Linked DNA regions of Schizosaccharomyces pombe. The protein of the gene in region 2 interacts with the protein of the main gene of each other region in a biochemical or structural test. Each region holds a gene or a part of one and is shown on either strand. Other genes may lie near its edges.

What was found. Proteins that work in one complex are often made in the same cells at the same time.
Region 1: of the proteins of pat1 (region 2) and mei3, one has a biochemical effect on the other in vitro, tested with the Schizosaccharomyces pombe proteins (one study listed by BioGRID).

Annotation. Positions count from the first base shown.
Region 1 is NC_003423.3:717,798-721,490, reverse strand, and holds mei3 (protein Mei3), read right to left. Parts: upstream 1,773-3,693; 5' UTR 1,686-1,772; coding exon 1,239-1,685; 3' UTR 501-1,238; downstream 1-500. Other genes in the region: lsb1 (SH3 domain-containing protein), read left to right, coding at 1-38; cmt1 (catechol O-methyltransferase 1), read right to left, coding at 2,725-3,525. UniProt on the Schizosaccharomyces pombe protein: Acts as a critical meiotic inducer by binding non-covalently to protein kinase ran1/pat1 inhibiting its enzymatic activity. Inhibits ran1/pat1 by acting as a pseudosubstrate for ran1/pat1 instead of its natural substrate ste11.
Region 2 is NC_003423.3:1,680,659-1,685,480, forward strand, and holds pat1 (serine/threonine protein kinase Ran1/Pat1), read left to right. Parts: upstream 1-2,202; coding exon 2,203-3,615; 3' UTR 3,616-3,897; downstream 3,898-4,822. UniProt on the Schizosaccharomyces pombe protein: This protein is a negative regulator of both sexual conjugation and meiosis. It phosphorylates mei2. It blocks the onset of meiosis until conjugation takes place.

The DNA of each region.
Region 1 (3,693 bases), 960 kb from region 2:
CAACTGCTGGCGCTGATCTCGTCAATTCCATTTTTTAAATGCGAGTTCGTTTCTTTCCTTTTTCTATGCTTTTTTTCTTCCTTTATATAAGTAAAACTTTCTGTGTGGTTGAACTAGCACCTGTGTTTGTTATCGTTGGTGCGCAGTTGTTTTTTATTTTGAAATTTCCAAGTAGAAATTTCCGTATATCGCGAATGCATTTCCCTTGTTCATGTTTACTCCTTTGGTCTTTTGTCTTTTTCTCGACTATGCTTTATGCTTATAAAGCAACACCGCGGCATAGCTGCTTCTTCATAGATTGAGACACCTCATTTATGTGTATGAATTCGATATCCAAACATTGTTGCATATTCTTTATGATTATCGATGCGTACTATTAAATACGCATGTCTCTTGACTTTTGTTTATTTTTAGTGTTTTTCTTTTTACGACTTTCATACCGTTTATATTTTAATTCCATAATAAAAAAAATAAATTACAAAGCAAAAATATGATTAATAGGGAACGAATGACAGTGTATTAGATTTGTTAATATGCTATGGTAAATTGTTCTATTGCTTAACGTATATTAAAGCAAAAAATAGTAAACGGATGAGGAAGTATAAATTAGGTAGCCTTTGTTAGAGATTTAATTACGATGTCCGGTCAGAATCGTTTCCATTAAGCAATAAAAAAGAATCGACGTGGAAATCCCATGAATGTAAAGACTCACATTATTAAAATGGGAAGATAAAGTAAAAACTGGAGACAGCGAATGTCCAACAAAAATGGAAGATGTATGAATAATGATGAATCAAATTCGGTAACACGTTGATGGGGATTCCAAGAGAAAGTAGCAGAATTTCAAAAAAAAAAGAGAACGACAATAAAAATGAACCTTTGTTTAAAAATAAAAGAAGTCAACACACAATAAAGAATAATGAGACTATGAACAGAAATGAAACTCAAGGGAGAATTGTTATAAAAAGCGTCTGAAAGCACTGGGGAATGAATGAAAGGACTAAATTTGTTTTAATTTTTTTTCTTTTTTGTTGTAAAAATGGAAAACATGAAAATAAGTATGCAAGTTCAAATATAATAGCTGTATAGTTAGGATGAAAATTTCCTATAACAGCGGTTTAATTAATAAAAATTAATGCTCGAAAGAGAATTTCTTTCAATTTTTATGTGGTGTTCATATTCCCCTTCGGCATTAGTCATTCAGGATCGAAGAAAATTAAGCTAATTTAAGCAGTTGCTTAGCGAGAGGTGTTGTTTACACGGTCGGTGATGTCAAAAGTCTCGTTAGGTCGAGGAACATGAAATAGGTCCAGGATGGTTAGTTCGTTAGTGAGGTCTGAGGGAGAAAGAACTCTTTGGACAGGCTTAATCCTATAAACCTTTTCAGTCTGAATATTTTCTTTATTTTCATGTTCAATGCGTTGTGCAGGGGTTCGGCGAACACGTTTAGTGCGTTTCATGGGAACGCTATGTACCGATCCAGCTTTGGTAGAACGGCCGCGTTTGCTTGTAGAGCTGATGAAAGTGGTACCGGCATGGTCAACAGTTTTGGTGTTAGTGTTAGTACTGGAGCTTCCAGTACTAGTTCTGGGAGAAGTTGAGCGTCTTGCCGTATTGGTGCGATTTGGTAAAGCAGAAGCGCTGCTTGCTGGGTGACGGCTGTTGGAGGTGTTTTGAGAGCTCATTGTTAGAAGTAGAAAGTGATTGTAAAAGTAGAATATAGTTTGATGTGAATTAGATAATAGAAAGAATAAGAGGATAAGAAAATGGATGCAGAAATGAGCGACTAAGCACTCATACTTATACTAACGCAGCACATTTCTTTCAAACCCATGGCTCACGGAGGTTTTTCAATTTCGTGTAAAGTATTTGATATTTGCAAATGAAACAAAAAAAACTATTAAACAAATAAAAGATTATTTTTTTGTATACAATCACAGTACAGAAAGTGAAAATGCAAAATTTAGAAAATGATAGTAAAGACCAAATGAGAAGTAAGAAACAAGTATATTTTATGTTTTCAAATGAACTACTACTATTATATTTTCTACTCTTCATTTCCAGCTTTTAATGCTTGCGAAGTGGCATGCTACGCGGCGCGACACGCTTTTCATTTAGAGAGCAGCGTAAACAAATCAAACTCGTGTTAAGTTTCGATATCATTCGTTAGATTTCCTTAAAAAATAACTCAGGCTAAACAACATTGAATTGAATAACGCAAAAAACAGTATTACAGTAATGTGTTTTTAGAGATTGCTACATTCCACAATGCAAGCTTACCACTTTGCTTTCGTGCTCGCTCAATCATTGCATGAAAGGTAGATATATCCAGCTAGGTGTTCTTCGTATTTGCGAGTAGAGTAATTAGCAGTGCACATTTATAGTATGCAAGTTAACGATTTCTTTAGTACTTCTCTATTGACGATCATGCGTTCATCTAACAGAATGGGCACATTCCAAATGTAATAGTGAACAGGAAACTTAAATTACTATACTATACTTGACATTTTACACATCGTTTTTAGAATCAAGCAACGGGATTAAAAGAGAAATCAATTCATTGTCAACTATAATTTATAACATTAGCAAACAATATCTGGACGAGCAAAGAATGGGATCCCAGACACGATTGTATGCTGTATAAACTGGGCTTCAAAAGATCGTAAAAGGTATCAGATACCACATAAAGTCAATTATAAAAAGATTAGGGAATGCCTTTGGTACCTAATCTTTTTTAGCATAGCCAACACACTCCGTAACGTCGACAGCGTCTTTGCGGTGTTTATTGCGAATGACACCCTCAAATTCTTTAGTTTCAGTCTTATATATCAAATCCCATCTGCCGATGAAATCGAATCCATTGACATTGCGAACCTTGGCTTGATATCCTCTACGTTCTTCAGGACTCATATTAACATATTTATGATATTCAGGAGCACCAGGTGTTATAATATTATCGGCCACTAGAAGGGTTCCCGGAGCAATCATATTAAGTGATTCAATAACCCTCAAGTCAGGCACATAAAGGTCCTTCCAGTGGTCGATAAATACCATGTCCAAAGCTTGAAAACCAAGGTCTTTATGCAATAATTTCTGTTGCAGTTCGACCAAACTGTCGCAAGCCTTGCCAATCATGATGGTGACTATTTCATCCAGACCGGCCAACTTAACCAACTCGTAAGCAATCTTGGCATAATCCTCATTCACTTCCAAGCTGTAATAACGACCACCAGGAATTTTGGAGATTTCATTTCCAAACAAAATAGCTGAGTAGCCCAAATAGCCGCCTAACTCAACCATGATTTTCGGCTTCCGTTCACGAATTTTCCCAACGATAAATCCACCTTTAACATCTCCTATACACATTCTCACTCCAGATCCGTCTGGATACGTGAATTCATCGATTTCCTTAAGAACCAACTCAGGATGCCCGCGAATCGCATCCAAGCGCTCTTGAGGCAGATTTTGAATGTGTTGCAGAAACAGCTGTTCCTTTTCACTACCGTTGTCTTCCATATGAGGCATGATTTCAAATTTCGAAAGGTTGGTTAAAAGTTGATTTTCAGCTCTGCATACGCAATACCATGCACTTTATATAGTTACGAGGGATGGAATGTTGCTGAATTCGATGCACCTCGTATGTTGTCACTACGCCACGCATCTTTACAAACTACCCACCGTATCATAGGACAT
Region 2 (4,822 bases):
TTCAAGTTTCTTTGTTCTACCTCAAACCTCACGCCTTCCCCTACTAACGAATTCGTAGCTAGCTACACTTCCGCACTACTTATTTGTGTTGCACCTCCATACACCTCATAATCAAAACTGCTAATTACAGCAACTTGGCCACGTAGCGACAACGTGCAATATATTAGAAGGTTGGATCCTTTCTCCATTTTACGATTCATCCAAATTCAATTCATATTACTAATTTTGCTCAGTCAATAAAGAGTTACTGAATTGCATTTTCTTTTCCTTTTCTTTTCGTCTCTTCTCTTGAAGAACCGTTGCCTTCTTCCCGATCATCATATTCCAGATCTTTTCGCCTGGACTTTGCTTTGCTTTCCTTTTTTTTTTACTCTACTTTCACAATTCACGTTCCCTTCCCCATTTGCATTCTCGCTGCTATCAACAATTCATCTCTGCACTTGCTCCTTTCTTCTTGGCAAGCTAGAAAAGCGTTCTTGCTTGCTGGATCCTGTGGGTGATTAACCACAATTCCAGAATTTCGATTTCAGCTTTCATATCCCCTGGTCATTAACGCGATTACTCTTACTCAGGTTGTTCGGCTGTCTACTGTGTTAAAGCAATAAAGAAAACACTACTTTTATCTGATTAGAAATCGAACCAAAATTAAAAAATTTATCTTTTATTCATTCTACACAAGTTTGGATTGTATTCTTATTTTTTTTATTTTATTTTTTTTTTAATTAAAAACTTCGAAATTCTATAAACAAACGTTGAATTGTCGAATTTGGATTTTATTTTTTCTTTAACCACCATTTTTTATTCTTACTAATATCCTCCCTTCCACCATCCTCGTTTTCTTTTACATTTGTTTTCCCTTCTTCCTCTTGGATTCTTATCATCTCCCGTGTCTAAAAGTTTCCATCTTACTCGTTTTTCTAACAAAGAAATCACTATTTCTCATCGCGACGAGCATTAGTCATATTTGAGTCGCGTTTCCTTTTCCTCTTTTTTAATTTATTATTTTTTTTTTGTTTTATTTATTTATTCTTTTTCACTTTCGTCTTTGGTTCTTGTTCGCGTCTGCTTTTCCTTTCTTTGTTCTTTCCCCTAGCCTCTTCGATTAGAGATAGATACTTCTTTCCATATCCAAACTTACTACTTCTCTGCTTTTCCCCAATGTAAATGGGAATTACCCTGAACGATTTCTTGTAAATTCCTTTGTGCTTGATGAAAATACTTTTCAAGAATTCTCTTCTCTCGGCTTTTCTTAATTACTCGATTTTTTCATTTTACATTCACAAATCCATATTGCTGTGCATACTTATTGACATTAGGTGAACTCATCTCTTTTTTCCCCAGTCCAACTCTTCCACCTAAGTCTATTGACTTACTCGCAAGCGTTGATTGTCGATTGTGTTTCCTTCTCATCCCCTCTCTTCTTTTTAAACCGAACATTCTATTCTCATTTTTACCTCAATTTGGAAAGGATATACTACTAGGTAAAAATTAATTCTACTTTTCTCCCCCATCTTTAACCGACTACTGACCTGTACATTTTCCCGATTTCTCTTACTGTTCCTTTGGAAAATCGTTGTGTGTCTTGTTTGTACGTTGATCTTTAGAGTTTCCTTTGATTATCTTGAGCATTCTTACTTTTTATTCCCTGCTTAAAATACTAATCATCATTTTTCCCGGTTTTTTATTCACATTCCCTTCTCACTTCCATTCGTTGTACTCAAAAGGACCTGTGCTTTTTAATCATAAACATTATATATTATTCGTTTTAACTCTTCCTTCCACAATTGCATTTCCCCTTTTCTTTATTAATTTTGTTTCTTGCATGTTGGTCGTTTTCTCTGTGATTGGCGTATTCGATTCTCTTTTTCATTCTTCGTTGTCGTATTTTTTACCTGCTTACAATTGAAAAAAAAATTTTTTTCTTGTAAATTCCCTTATATTATTAAACCTCAAACGATCAAGATAAAACCTATCATTGTGTTATTGACTATTTTCCTGTTTATAACGATCTTTGTTTTTTTTATCATTGATTTTAGAAGACATTAGAAAATCTAACCTTTCTCAAAGTTTTTTTTTTGTTTCGGTTGCAAAGTTCTTTAAGCTATTCAAAACTTTATCATCCGAAATACTTATTTTCTATTTTCTTATCTAATTTTCGCCATCAATTGGGACTTTATTTAATTTATCTTTACTAAACATTAGATGATGCGCGAAAATCCAGAACTCCTTTTGGGTCAGGTCTTGGGTGATTCTTTACGATTTGTTTCTATCATCGGTGCCGGTGCTTATGGTGTCGTGTACAAAGCAGAAGACATTTACGACGGTACCTTGTATGCAGTAAAGGCTTTATGTAAGGATGGCTTAAATGAAAAGCAGAAGAAGTTACAAGCTCGCGAACTTGCCTTACATGCTCGTGTTTCTTCACATCCTTATATTATTACATTGCACCGCGTGTTAGAAACGGAAGACGCCATTTATGTCGTTCTCCAGTATTGTCCGAATGGCGACCTTTTTACTTACATCACGGAGAAAAAGGTATATCAAGGGAATAGTCATTTAATTAAAACCGTTTTTTTACAGCTTATTTCTGCTGTTGAACATTGTCACTCAGTTGGCATATATCATCGAGATCTTAAACCCGAAAACATTATGGTTGGAAATGATGTAAACACCGTATACTTAGCTGATTTTGGTCTGGCTACTACAGAACCCTATTCAAGTGACTTTGGATGTGGTAGTCTGTTTTACATGTCTCCAGAATGTCAACGGGAGGTGAAAAAACTTAGTTCGCTGTCAGATATGCTACCGGTAACTCCTGAACCTATAGAATCACAATCATCCAGCTTTGCTACAGCGCCAAATGACGTCTGGGCTCTGGGAATTATATTAATTAATCTGTGTTGTAAGAGGAACCCTTGGAAGCGTGCATGTTCTCAAACTGATGGTACTTACCGTTCCTACGTTCACAATCCATCAACCCTTTTATCCATTTTACCCATCAGTAGAGAGCTCAATTCTCTACTCAATCGAATTTTTGATAGGAATCCCAAAACCCGAATCACATTACCCGAACTTTCCACGCTAGTATCAAACTGTAAGAACCTTACACGACGTTTACGACCTGCTCCCCTTGTTTCATCTCGTTATCTCGCATACCAACAACAACAACAACAGCAACAAATGAATTTGCAACAAGGAATTCAAGGTTACCCTCATCAAGGCTATATGCCGACTCAAAACATTGGCTTTCCCTGGCCTCCGACTCCCCAGTTTGTAAGTAATTGGAATCATTGTGCTACTCCAACGATCCCTGTCTCCTTACAAGTCCTTACACCAAATTCTTCACTTAAAGTAGATCCGACTACACCTCTTACAGCACCTATTCATGCAACCGAATCATTCTGGCCTTCTGCCGCAGCGGCGGCAGCAGCTGTCCATAACAATGCTAACTCATATATGCCTATTACACCCACACCCTATCCGAATAATGCAAAAATTTTCGGTTATCCTAATCAACCTCCGCTGACTCCCATACCTTTTACTGGATTCGTTTTGCATCCTGCACCAGTTGGTCGTGCTGCTGATGCCGTAGATCCATCTCGAAAATCGCTCTAAAGTTACTTGCTTCTTTTTTATATTCGCTACCGCACGTTGTTTTGTTCAGGGTTACTGCAAAACATTATAGAGGGCTTTGACTGCCCCAATAATTATTTCTCGGGATTTGAATTTTAACATTGTGTAAATAGCTAACATTTTATGCACTTGTTTTATACTTATATTTCTTCTTTTTTATATGTTTATTATGATGGTAGCATTATCTTTTTCTGTTAACAACATTGATGAATTTTTTTTGCTTGTGGTTTGTTCTTTAAAACAAAAATTTTTTTATAAATATATACTTAAAAAAAAAAAAAAGAAAAGGTAGACGAATGGATCGTTTTAACGACGGTTGTAATAGTAAATTTAAAGAGTTTAGAGCATGAAGCATGCAGTCATATTGTATCACCGCTATACTCGAAATGTTGAAGAGATAAAGCAAACTAAGCTTTTGGAATACGAAGATAGAAGGATATTATTCATAACTTGTAATAATATTGTTAAAAGTTAAAATATTAAATTAAATTTATAGATATCTTCTTGTAAATTCTAATATTACAATATTTTTACTGATATTTTTAAGCAATTATTATATCAAATATCGTTGTGTATATAGAATATTTTTTGGACAATATTTTCAAAAATAAAGATATTGTTAAGTTAAGTAAAGATATATTTTAGTAAAGGATGATAGAGAAAGAAATTAGAAAACTAGGTTTGAAGATGCAATTAAATTATAGCAATAATACAATTATAAGTTTCCTGTAAGGGGACAAATTTTACTAAACTTTGTTATTTATTATCTTTACACGAATTTCCACTGAATGTAAAGTGTATGTAGTAAACATTGTAACAAAATTCATAAATTTATATGTATATAGTTTTTTACTTTAGGTTGCATTAATAGATGATACAGTTTTTCTGTTTTAGATAACGCTATATTTTAAAAAACCAATGCTTCTAAAATTCGTTAAGCTTAGATAGGCATAGGAAAGTTGAACTAGGTCGAGAATTTTATTAGGCTGTACACAGAGGTTATCTGTGTGTTTTGTTAATAGAGTTTAACCGTTTTGGAAGCTAATTTACAAATACCGTAATGATTCTTGCAGTACACAAAAATGGCGTTTTTTTGATAGTATAAAATTTTTGGCAGTGTTTTTTACTCTAATAGGGCGTGAAGGTGCGAGTAAACAAAGAAGTGGAAAGGAAGGTCGGGACTGTAACT